3 linked regions of the Schizosaccharomyces pombe genome follow. Changing the gene in region 1 together with any one later gene gives a genetic interaction. Each region holds a gene or a part of one and is shown in the gene's direction. Other genes may lie near its edges.

Region 1 (5,303 bases):
AATTTACAAAATGCTTATAACATGAAGCCATTATTAGACGTATGTAATTCTTTTATTTCTGTTAACAATATTGAGCGAATAAGCTAACAATTTTTTAGGGAAAACAGATCATGAAAAATGTGGGAGTTAAGCCTGGCCCGCAGCTGAAAGAGACTATGGATAACATGATTTCCTGGCAATTTAAACACCCTGAAGGAAGTGTCGAAGATTGTGTTGCATACCTTCAATCCCTAAAAATATAAGAAAAGACAATCACTGTTTAGATAACTTAATCGCACAAAAGATTAAAAGAATAAAAGTCACCAGTAATCGTCGTCCTTTTTGGAAATTCGTATTTATGATATTTATGCTTAATTCAGAATGGATCCTTTCCTCTTATTATTACCAATCTCTAACCGGCTCTCGATAATCGTATTCGCTGGTGCTTGGTGTAATTTCGGTACAGTCTGGATAACAGTAGTTCAATTTGACATAGCATCTTGTGTTTTCATTATCATTATTAAAAAAACGAGTTCCACAAGCGGAACATTGCAAATTTAATTGATCAAATTCATCAATGATTTCGTTGCCTGTGCGTGCTGGATAATCACCTTCGCACTCATAAATGGCAGTGCAAGAACTAGCTGTATAAGAAGAATATCCATGGTAGATCAAGGATCTATTATACTTCATGTACGCGTTCGGACACGCACGATTTTCTCCTCGAAGCATAGGGCAAAGAAATGAGCCCTTACAGTTATTAGGATGAACCGAATTATCATATCCAAGCATGTTAAATAAACTTCTTCGATAGTTTGAAGTAATTCGAGAGCCTTTTGCTTCTGGCTCAAAGACAGTACTAAGATCACTTCTAATTGGGACTGCAATGCATATGTAAATGCAGATTCCGTATATGAATAGGAACAAAGTTAATTTCTCTGTTACACAACAAAATTTCCACATTCCTTCCGAAATATTAATATATATTAAATATGCAAAAGTGTTTAAAGCAATGCTTCTTATTTGCAATTATTCTTAATTAATTAATATTTTTCTTTTGGTTAAGGAAAGAATATGTAATATAAACAGTATTCTTTTAGTTGGTGTCAATATTTTTGTTTGTTTTTAAGATCGTAAACAGAGCTTTACAAACCCCAAAGCAAGGTGTCTTCATCTAGTGAAGCATCCGAGTCATTATTAGATAAATTGCTAGATTCTTTAACAGAAAAGTTATTTTTTTTAGTTTCAAACCTTTTTTGTTTCAAACGACGGATAAGATCCCTCGACTCACCCAATTTGCTTTCTTCTTCATAAAGAATATCATAAACTTCTGGTTCTAAATCATTATCTGCAATTTCATTTTCTTCATCCTTTTCGGCCAATAACTGTTGCTGTTGGAGTGTTATTTCTTGTTCAACAGCATTTTCCTCAATAATGCCAATCTCATTTTGAAAATCGTTCCACTCTTCTTCAATTAGTTCTTTATTTTTAGCAATAGATTCATCAAAAAAGTTTTCTGGAAGTGCGGACACCGCTCGTGTATCCTTAGGAGGTTCTGTAGATTGCTTTTCATTAAAATCACTTACTGCCAGCTCACGAGATTGATCACGACCTAAATTTTCAAATGATTTATGATCTCTCGTCTTCTGACGCTTCAGTTCTTGACTAGAGGCTTTCAGACCTCGCTTTTGCCCTAATCGCTCTTGTTTTACTTTCCTCAGTAACTCTCGTGCACTACTCATATTTTTGAAGCTCCTTTTCTAACAATATTCACATTTAATCGTAAAATATTGCATTCGAACTATAAAATAGCATGTATCCTTAGTTTTCGCAGATTTTGCACCTTTGCTATAACAAACTACAACACTGCTGCCACTTGCCAATAACCCATACCTGCCAACACCTTGTTTTTTAGAACTCTTGACGAGCTTTTGTGAGGATATTAAACACTTCAGGAACGACTTTTGTTTAGTTATGCATATATTTTAATCTCCTCAGTTTATTTAGTACGCATTCAATCACTTGTTATTCGAATTGCATGTATTAACCTTGAAGTACAGATGTCATTGATCAAAATACTTTTTATTCCCATAATAACGAAGCATGGTAAGAAAAAGCACTAGAAGGACGGCAAAAGCCTCAGAAAAACCTCCTGAAACTGTTGTTCGGTGTGTTTGTAAATCGCAAGAAGACATTGGCGATACGTGGGTTCAATGTGATGGGTGTGATTGCTGGCAACATGCCAGTTGCGTTGGATTAGCGGATAAGGATATACCTGAAAGCTACTATTGTGAAGTTTGTCATTCGCGAAGCGACGTTTCATCACAAGTACAAAATTCTCCCAATAAGGATGAAGAGCATCAGACAGCTGATTTACTTGCCTCTAATGAAGGGAACGAGAAAAACAATGAAGAAAATAATGTTGTATCTTCTGATTCAAAAGAGGCGATTACTAAAGAGTCAGGCGCTGAACTAGAATCATCCGAGCCTGCTTCGACAAATTCTAATGTTGGAATGACTACTAGGTCTGGTCGACAATCTCCTAGGACTCCTATTGGCTCCACGACACCAAAAAGTTCTCATTCTCCACCTTCAACTCGAAAACGAAGAGGCAGTGTTGGTACGACGGCTACTCATACCAAACGTAGCAAGAATGCACCAAAAACATCTCCTAAGGATGCTTCCAATGAAACTGCAGATCAGGAAAAGGAGCTTAGTTTACACACTTCTATCGATGAAATTCAAAACCCTGTTAGAAAAAGTGTTGCCAAAGCCTGGGTTTCCGTTTTTGAAAAAATCATTGAGAAAGCAAAACTTGAAGGTGTGCAAGGATTAGAAGACCTTAATTCTACATCCTTAGCGCTTCAGCTTGAGCATATTATGTTTATGGTGCTTTCGTATACAACTGATCATTCGTTAACTCCGAACAACAAATATCGAGAGAAGTTTCGTGCTTTACGATTCAACTTGGTTGATGACAAAAACCCGGCATTTCGAGCGCGCGTGTTAAAAAATGAAATTAGTTTTAACGATCTGGTCAACTTATCCAGTGAAGAAATGGCTAATCCTGACTTGAAGAACCTAGCTGAGGAAATTCGTCAACAAAGTACTGAAAACACAGTCATAAAGCAACATTTGATTGCTCCACGAGATCGTTTACTTGATGAAGATAAACTTACACAACAAGATGAACTTGGTATTGCGGAAAACGATGATGCGATGTTTCCCAAACCTCCTGGAGAGCTTGTAGCTCCAATTTCAATTGCAGAAGAAGAGCCCACAATTGATTCCAAAAGTCCTACTTTACCGGAACATAATCCTCTTTCTGAAGACGATACATCTAATGGTGATAAAGCTGCAAAAAGAAAAGGGAGTTTTAACGACACAAAACCGATAGTCAATGTCCCTTCCATCGTGGAAATAGATGATCCTACTATACTTGACATTGTAGAAGAGGAGCCTCTTGCGAGGAACGATTCATTTTCTTCTCCGTATTCGCCTGCTGAAGATATGGCTGAGGAGTCTGAGTTTTTTGGCATGAAAGAGAAAATATGGACTGGAAAAGTAAAAATGGCTACTGTTTCAGAGTTTCACGCAAATGCCTTAAATTTATTTGGTGATGTTAGTGCTAGTCATTTATTTGAAATTTTATCTGCGACAGCTTTAATTGAGGGTCGTATAAGTGTATCATCAGTTTTGCAGTATTTTCATGCTCTAAGAAAAACTCCTTCTAAAGAAATAATTGCGGTGCTATTCGTACCCACTGAGCAAAACTCACAAGGATTTGATATTTTGTACGATTATTTTGTGAAAAGAAATCGCTATGGAGTGTTACATTCGAAGTCTAATTCTGTGAAAGATGCATACATTATTCCTATGCCATCAGGAAACAGCGTGCCTGAATTACTTGACCTTCTTCCCAAGGTTGATTTACCTAAAGATCGAAATTTTCAGTATTTCATGGGCTTATTTGTTCTTAATAAAAGCTCCTCTCGTCATGAATCAGTAGAAAGAGCCACTCCTATCACTACTTCCACAAATGGTATTCCATCTACATATCAGTCTGCTTCTGGTACACCTACTAATCCAGTTCATTCCTACCCGTCTCTCGAAAGTATTATTAATGCTTTAACTCCTTCTGATATGCTCTTAATTAAAGATGTTGTTGAGAACAATCCACAAATAAGGGCAAATCCGTCGCTAGCAATTAACCCTCAATTTATGCAGAATGCCATTTCGGCGGCTCAGAAAAAGGCGTCCAAACAATAATTTTTGTAAATTTCTTTTTTAATGGAGGTTATTAACAAGCACCGTTCTTGCATAACTCCTCCTTTTTGGATCATCAAAAATGGCATATATGTCTCTTTTTGGTATATATTAAAATAGGAAAACTGTAGTTTAAAGAATCAATTAACCCGGTCCTTAAAAGTTTTCATTATAATATCATTTTTGGGAGATGGTCCTAGTTAACCTTATCCTAGAATCTTTGAGACACATTGACGAGTTTTTTATTAACGGTATATTTTGTGAAGCATGGCTTCTTTGACTTACATATCTATCTAATATTACTGCTTGATATGCATAATCTATTTTCATAACATTTTAGTTATGGATAATTAAGGTCAACCTAATGATATTTATTTATTTTTTTTTTACACTCTTAATTGAGTTTGTTAGTTAGCACAATGTAAAGCGATTCACATCTGGACTTAAAATTTTGATTTGATATTATAATACTTTTCATATCCACCCTAAAATTTGGAGAATAAAAGGTTAAAGCATTTAGTAACTACCTATCGTGATATGATTATAATTTTAAATTCAACATGAATTAGTGCTTATGTTTATTAAATGATCAAACTATTAATCGACTAACTCATCAATACCCTAAAAATTTGGAGGATAAATAACACCCAACTTCTTCGTTTAGTGAAATATTTAACAAAAAAGCAGTTATCCAATTCATCCGGTTGTATTAAAGTAAGGGATTACTCTTTAACAAACAACATTCATAAACTAAGTAAACGTTAAAACCTTTCTTTTTTTTAAATCTCACTTCTCACAAAAGCGCAAATTTAGCCCAGGCGAATAACACCGCTGGCAATCAGCTTCTCAATTTTGCTTTTAACGGTTGGGTTCTTCATGTGTTCCATCAAAGCAGCAGGATTCTCACGAGCTTGTCCAAGGATAGCTTGCATAGCAGGGTCTTGTAAGATTCCTAGAACTTCAGGATCTTTTTGAATTCGAGCCATCGTCTCCTCCTCAGTTTCATTTTGTCTCTGACTAGCCATTGCGCTCATACACTTGGACAATTGAGACTCGAT
Region 2 (3,393 bases), 570 kb from region 1:
ATTTCCGACTACCGAATGAATTACGACACTCCACCTTGTTTCGTTAATACTACTCCATTACTAACAATTGCGCAAATACTGAAAGCAAACCAGAACCAAGTAGAAAAAATGTCGGTTTACTCATTTTCAGACGTTAGTTTAGTTGCAAAGGCACTTGGTGCATTCGTTAAAGAGAAAAGTGAAGCTTCTATTAAAAGGCATGGCGTGTTCACTTTAGCTCTTAGTGGAGGAAGTTTACCAAAGGTTTTGGCTGAAGGATTGGCTCAACAGAGAGGTATCGAGTTTTCCAAATGGTAAGTTAACAGATATTATATACTTTTGAGTTGTATGGATTCACTGTGGTTTTGTTTAGCTTTGGTTGACGTGAAACACTCTGTCTTAAGGCAATTTATGATTAACAGCTCTATTTAGGGAAGTTTTCTTTGCTGATGAAAGAATTGTTCCTTTAGATGATGAAAACTCAAATTATGCGCTCTGTAAAAAGTTGATTTTTGACAAGTTTGAAGGATTTGACCCTAAAAAAATTCATACCATCAATCCTGAGCTTTTGAAAGAAAATCCTATTGACCCTCAGAATGTTGCTGATGAATATGAAAAACAATTAGTGCATGTGTTTGCAAATAGCTCCACTGTTAAGGTCCCTGTGTTTGATTTACTGCTGTTAGGATGCGGTCCTGATGGCCATACATGTTCTCTATTCCCCGATCACGAGGTACTCCAGGAAGACGTTGCTTGGGTGGCCCCAGTCACTGATTCGCCCAAACCCCCTAAAGACCGCATCACTTTGACTTTACCGGTTGTCACACATGCTCAAGCCATTGCCTTTGTTACCACAGGTGCTGGTAAGAAGGATATTTTGCCTATTGTCATTGAGGATTTTACATCTAAACTTCCAAGTGCGCTGATCACTCGAAACAATTTGACTCGTACAAGCTGGTTTGTGGATGATGAAGCATCAGCCAATCTTGAGAGATCCTCTTTGAAGGTTTTCCCTCAATAGGCAGTTCAATTTAAGCAGGTGGCCTTTAGAATGCTTAATTGCTACATGCTTCGGATTCATTACTTGTTTCTTTAAGGTCTTTCAAGGGAAAGGTTGCAGTTCTCTTTTGTTGTTCGTGAGATTCTTTGCATAAACGCTTTAGATAATGACTTTCAAAATGCTTTCAGTCACTTCCGTGGAATGCTTGATGACCAGTTTTAACACATGTTAGTAGATTAGGAGAGAACTTGTTCCTCAAATCCTCTTTGCATTTGTTGTCTGTTTTTTATTTTAGACTAGCGTATAAAGGTTAGTCTTGTAAACAATGTGTAAGAAGCTAATGCTTTATTAAATTGTTTTATTGCTTCGTTTAGAATCATGTTTAGTTGATTGATATCACTGGCCAAACCCACACTGCAGAAATATGATGTTTTAATGAAGAAATGAATCATTGAAATATATAAACTTAAGCTATCTTGTATCATTTTTTGTTGGTGATAATGTTCTAAAATGTGTTTCATCAACAAGATAAAGTAAACCAATTGTTTTTGAATTGCAGTGATATAGTTTAGCTTCAATTCTTTTATTAAATCATTAATTCATTTTTAAAATTATGCAAAATTACGGCATTTTCTCATACTGCTTATGATAGATTTTAAGCAAAGATGGAAATTTATATCCAAAAACATGCAATTGCTTAAACTCTCCTTTATGTAAGGGTTTATTAATACTTATGTGTTTTCTACAGATGGCAACCTTCTGATTAATTATCATTAGGTTAATTTGTGATAGAAGCTGTAGTGATCTTAATTACAATAGTTTACATTATAGCAAGATGTTCGACATGACTCAATAGACTAAAAATTTTTTTTCTTAGCATATTCTTCAAAACTGTAGGTCTTAAAAACAGTTTTGTTAGCTTAACATCACCTTAAGTCGTTAGTCATCGTAGAGGAGGCACTTGATATTTCCATCGCACAACATGAACTACCAAAGGCTTGAAAAGTTAGGTAAGTATGAGTTTGAGGTCCCAAAATTTGCAATTTCATTAACTTAAGTAGGAGAGGGAACATATGCGCATGTTTATAAGGGGCAAAATCGAGTGACTGGTGAAATTGTCGCTCTCAAAGTTATTCGTATTGATGCAGATGAAGGAACACCTAGTACTGCTATCCGTGAGATTAGTCTTATGAAGGAGCTTAGGCATCCCAATATTATGTCTCTCTCAGACGTTTTGCAAACCGAAAATAAGCTTATGCTCGTTTTTGAATATATGGAAAAAGATTTGAAAAAGTACATGGACACTTATGGGAACCAAGGAGCTCTTCCACCTTCTCAAGTAAAAAATTTTACTCAACAATTACTCAAAGGGATATCTTTTTGTCACGAAAACCGAGTTCTACATCGTGATCTGAAACCTCAAAATTTGCTTATCAACAGTCGTGGTGAATTGAAATTGGCGGATTTTGGGTTAGCCCGTTCAATTGGAATTCCAGTGAATACTTTTTCAAACGAAGTGGTCACCTTATGGTATCGTGCTCCTGACGTTCTTTTGGGTTCTCGAGTATATTCAACTTCCATTGATATTTGGTCAGTTGGTTGTATCATGGCAGAAATGGCTACAGGACGTCCTCTATTTGCTGGGTCAAATAATGAGGATCAGCTACTAAAAATCTTCCGATTATTGGGAACTCCTACTGAACAATCATGGCCCGGAATTTCTTTACTTCCTGAATATAAGCCTACTTTCCCTATTTATAAAGCACAAGATCTCGCCTACCTATTTCCAACATTTGATCCTCTTGGTTTGGATTTGTTACGACGGATGCTTCGTCTACAACCTGAATTAAGGACGACCGGCCAGGATGCGCTTCAACATGCTTGGTTTTTAACCGCATAGGCTGTAAATTAACATCAAAAAGTTTAACCAAATTACGATTTTATTTATTCATTTCAGTTTCCTATTGAAATCATTAATTTTTTTTTTGGAAAGAATGCATTTCACCTAGGGAAAGAGCACAATATTTTTGGACGTTCAAATTTCTTCGCAACTGTTTTAGCCCAAGTAGCTATCCCTATTGATCTTTTTTAAACGAGGTTTAGAGGTAAATATTTGGTTATTATTTTGAGAGGATTTGAAGCTGTCGAATATATTTTTAGCCAAGAATTAAACGGCGTTTTATTTTCTACGATTAAAATATCGTCGCTGATGACATTCAAGTCGTAAATGAAATACTTAAAGAATTGAATGATCCGCATTGCGTCTGACATTTTTATGAAGGAGCAAAAGGATAATATTCAAAAAGCAATGCGGGTTTTTAGTATACTGATAATAATTTGCGGATTTCAAGCAATTATCCGCAATGCACATGAAAAACAATCTTTTTTCACTTATTTTTATTAGTGGATTAATG
Region 3 (3,926 bases), on another chromosome or scaffold:
CCAGCGTGGAAATTGTACTTCTCCCGATTGTTCTTCAGAAATTTCCCTTTCAATCGCTAACTTTTTCCATCCTTGTAGCCTTTCATTGCATTCAATTTCATATTTCATTTTACGATCTCATTCCTCAATATATTTTTTTCAAGTGCTTCTCTTTTGTTTTCGTCAATTTCTAACAATGTAGAATCTACAGATCTCTCGTATCTTTCAATGAAAATTTTTAAATCTTCCGCAGAATCATTTGGTGGTGGCAGATTGTAGTCATTATCAAAATTCTCGTTCGACATCATCCTTATTATTTATACAAAACCAGTTGCAATAAACCGCAGTATTCTTTTTAACGATAAAATTTCAATTCACTATAACTATACAAATGATATCTTTTGTAGCCTGCCTTATATGTTTACTAATTGACAAATATTTCTCAGAAAGGGAAATCTTGGAAAATAAAAGTACAAACGTGTGTTGAAAGCAATATTTAATATATGTGTTGTAAGTAAATTCAAATCTCTCAAGTTCCCCTTATATACAACTTTAAACAAAGAATGCTAAGGACAAAGAAAAGAGTTTTTGATGGATTAAGAAACAAGGTAACCTAAGTAACTTCACACTGGGAGTACGTGATACAGATAATGAAAATGGGCTTTATCTGTAAAATAAAAGAAAAATGGCTTATTTGCAGGTAACTTATTACAAAGTTAGATTTATTGAATAGAGGAGTATTTGTTTAAAAACAAACTTCGATTGCAAACATGCATAACAAAGTTAATAGAAAAACATTTCTTTATCCTGCTTTATTGTATTCCTCTTAAGGGATTCTCAACAGCTCTAAATAATCACGAAATATTTAAAGAAAAGGTATATTACTCATTCAAGCTATTAATTGTAAATAATATAACCCATAGCTACAACAAATGCGTTAAGAGGATATAATGTTAGCTACGCAAGTATTTAATTTAACGATACGTAGAACTACGGTGTTTTCCTAGTGATCTATTATATTGTAATTCGCAAGTAATATATAAGTAGCAATTGAGATTGGTATTCTAATATATGGGTTATATTGTTGAATAGATGAATGAGCAAATACAAGACTTGAAAAGTCCTTCAATGATATATTTCTGGTATAGAGTGTTGGCGAAACGACATGAATTCTGAGTTTGACGCTACGCAGAATGAGATTGCATCCATTAAGTTGAAATAACTACTATGAAAGGTGAAATGACTATCATTGGCAGAAAATGAACATTAGTTTTATACGTTGACATTCTTACGGCACTTTTTATTTACAATTTTGCTTACTACTAGTCATCCCGTTTTAACTTTGTTCTTAGGAGTTAATTTATTTTACTTTATTCATTTATTTTTTTATTTTTTTTGAAACTCGTATTATCGTTCAATTTCAGAACATCTTTACTGCTTTGCCTGCCCGGTTGACAAATAAATACGATTTCAAACGAACAATTAGTTTATTATATAATTTTTTACGTAAGTATATGCCATAGTTTATAGTAATACAAGGGAAGCAAAAACAAAGTCTCAATGCGGTGAGTAGTATATAGTAATTCCTGCTTCAGACAAGTCATTAAAACACACATTTGCACTCCGTACACATTTCTCAACACGCCGAATAGTTTCTTTTCATAATCCCCAACATATAACATCACAAGATTTCGTCTAGCATTCTTACCAAAACTCGTACTGTAAATGTTACAGTGAGTGATAGCCGTTAGCTAAGATGACCTGCTGAGACTAAACAAAATCATGAGAAAACGAATAATGTATTTTATATACCTAATATTTAAGAGGGAATCTTGGAGAAAACTGGGTAGTTTGAGAATAATAAATGTTCTTTTCCATCTTTACAAATGAGACGAAGATTTTTGCTCTACCCAAACTAATTAATCTGTTGTTTCAAAATCATTTTAAGTATAGGCTATAATGTAAAACATTGATATTATACAAGAAGTATTTATTACTTATGCTTATGATTTCGTTTGCGATGCTAACAGCAGTGTGTCGTAAGAAACTCACCATCAGCATAAAACAAGATGGCTTTGACTCCAGACACTGTTTCTTCAAAGTTGGCTACTCTAAATGAAACACAAGAAAGTATAACGGGAATAGCGCATTGGGTTATGTTTCACAAGCGTTATGCTGATGAAATTGTCCAAATATGGCTGGAAGCTTTGTATGAATGTATGACTCCTTTAGGAATTTGTTCGATTGTCTAACTAATTTAACCAGCTTCTTCCAACAAAAAGCTTTTATTGCTTTACCTGCTCAACGAAGTCGTTCAACAATCCCGGGTCAAAAAAATATCTGAATATATTGATGCCGTTTCTCCAGTAAGTTACTATCATTATGAGCTTGGAACATCTCCTATATGGTTTAGATTCTAATAATATTTGCATAGTATGTCGTAAACTCTGTAGCTGACGCGTACGCGTCAGTTCCTGCTTCCATTAAAACAAAAATCAAATACGTTTTTGACGTTTGGTGTCAACGCGGCATATTTTCTAAGGAGATACTTTTATCCTTGCAGGAAAGGTTTAATAATGCCGAGAACAGTGGCCATTCTAACTATTACCCCGTTGGCCCTCCGGAATGGGTATGCCGCAATTCAAATAAAATATCAGAACTTTACTAATTGCATAGGCACCTTACACTCGTTTAATGACACAAACTAGTTTATACGCAAAATCTGCTCACTCTACCAAAACTGTGGTAGATGCATTGTATAAATCATACTTGGAGAAACAATCAGATTATTCTGAACTACTCGATAATTATAAAAAGCAACTAAATAAAGCCTCTGAATCATGTAAAGGTAATTATCAGGCTTGCATCGAATCCCGATCCACACTCATTACTTCCTTGGAATCGCTTATAGAAGAACAAAAAAAGCTACTTTCAGAGGAAGAAGAGAGCCTAAAATCTGTTGAATCCATAATTTCTAATTTAGAGAATAAGGAAAGTACAACAGCTACCTCTACCTTGACCGATGCAGGTTTTGGAGATAAAAGTTCTACTGCTGGCAAACATAATGTAGAAACAACATCACCTCCGTCTAGTTCTCCAAACAGTGATGATGCTTATTCTCCTCAAGTAGATTCTTACTCTCCAAGCATTAACAGCGTACCATATACTTCCAATATTGTCGAAAATCCATCTGAAGACAATCTCTCTCCTCTTCCTCCTCCTGCCAGTGGACCCTATTCCCAAGAAGAAGAAGAAACATCATTATTTAAAAGCCAGAGAAAAGAAGAAAATGAAGAGGAATCTAAAGAATTACCAGAAGACTCAGATATCTATGGAAAAGATAGTTCTCCCTCTTCGGACGACTCTAGTGCAGCTGGTCTATATGGTGATAGCTGAAATCCATGAAATGTAATGCTTAGTTTTCATTATTTTTCTTTTTTTTTTTAAACTGTCAATCAATGTGGCAGTCTTAGTCAATAAGCATTTTTAGAATACCTATCCTAACCTTTTATATGCGTCAGTACCTGACTTCATCCTATCGAAGCCGTTTTTGGAATTTTGTATATTTCGAAGAAAGTTGAGCCCTATCTAGGAAGAATGGGCTTTTAATGTCTGAAAAAAAACATTCTTGCGAAGAAAAATCGCTGCAACTATATCCTCTTTCAAATAAAATTCGTCATGTAAATCCGAATATTTCAGCTCTTCCGTCTGAGACTGATATATCTGAATCATTGACGAACGATTTAACTAAACTAGAAATTTCTAACTATGCTCCATTTAATAGAGATTTAGAGACTTTTTCCGATTTAATTTTTGGCTTAACTAATATACAAAAAAAATCATTGTATTCTCTTCAATTAGGCAGAAGTAGAGGATATGCTTTATATTCAGACGAGAATGAGAAATATTTGTGGTCTATAAATACTAAAATCACCTCTACGGAACAA

The links.
Region 2: mutations in bye1 (region 1) and pef1 together harm fitness more than expected from each alone (negative genetic interaction), as found in Schizosaccharomyces pombe (2 studies listed by BioGRID).
Region 3: mutations in bye1 (region 1) and rhn1 together harm fitness more than expected from each alone (negative genetic interaction), as found in Schizosaccharomyces pombe (2 studies listed by BioGRID).

Annotation. Positions count from the first base shown.
Region 1 is NC_003421.2:1,256,552-1,261,854, forward strand, and holds bye1 (transcription elongation regulator), read left to right. Parts: upstream 1-1,856; 5' UTR 1,857-1,985; intron 1,986-2,039; 5' UTR 2,040-2,082; coding exon 2,083-4,248; 3' UTR 4,249-4,729; downstream 4,730-5,303. Other genes in the region: cca2 (ATP/CTP tRNA nucleotidyltransferase), read left to right, coding at 1-39, 99-242; protein mug117, read right to left, coding at 382-942; SPOM_SPCC645.12C (uncharacterized protein), read right to left, coding at 1,125-1,721; chaperone activator Sti1, read right to left, coding at 5,055-5,303.
Region 2 is NC_003421.2:685,793-689,185, forward strand, and holds pef1 (cyclin-dependent protein kinase Pho85/PhoA-like Pef1), read left to right. Parts: upstream 1-1,942; 5' UTR 1,943-1,961; coding exon 1,962-1,989; exon of another isoform or gene 1,990-2,040; coding exon 2,041-2,879; downstream 2,880-3,393. Other genes in the region: pgl1 (6-phosphogluconolactonase), read left to right, coding at 109-293, 412-1,000.
Region 3 is NC_003423.3:1,033,490-1,037,415, forward strand, and holds rhn1 (RNA polymerase II transcription termination factor), read left to right. Parts: upstream 1-2,032; 5' UTR 2,033-2,048; coding exon 2,049-2,196; exon of another isoform or gene 2,197-2,244; coding exon 2,245-2,345; exon of another isoform or gene 2,346-2,413; coding exon 2,414-2,608; intron 2,609-2,655; coding exon 2,656-3,375; downstream 3,376-3,926. Other genes in the region: serine/threonine protein kinase Ppk27, read left to right, coding at 3,588-3,926.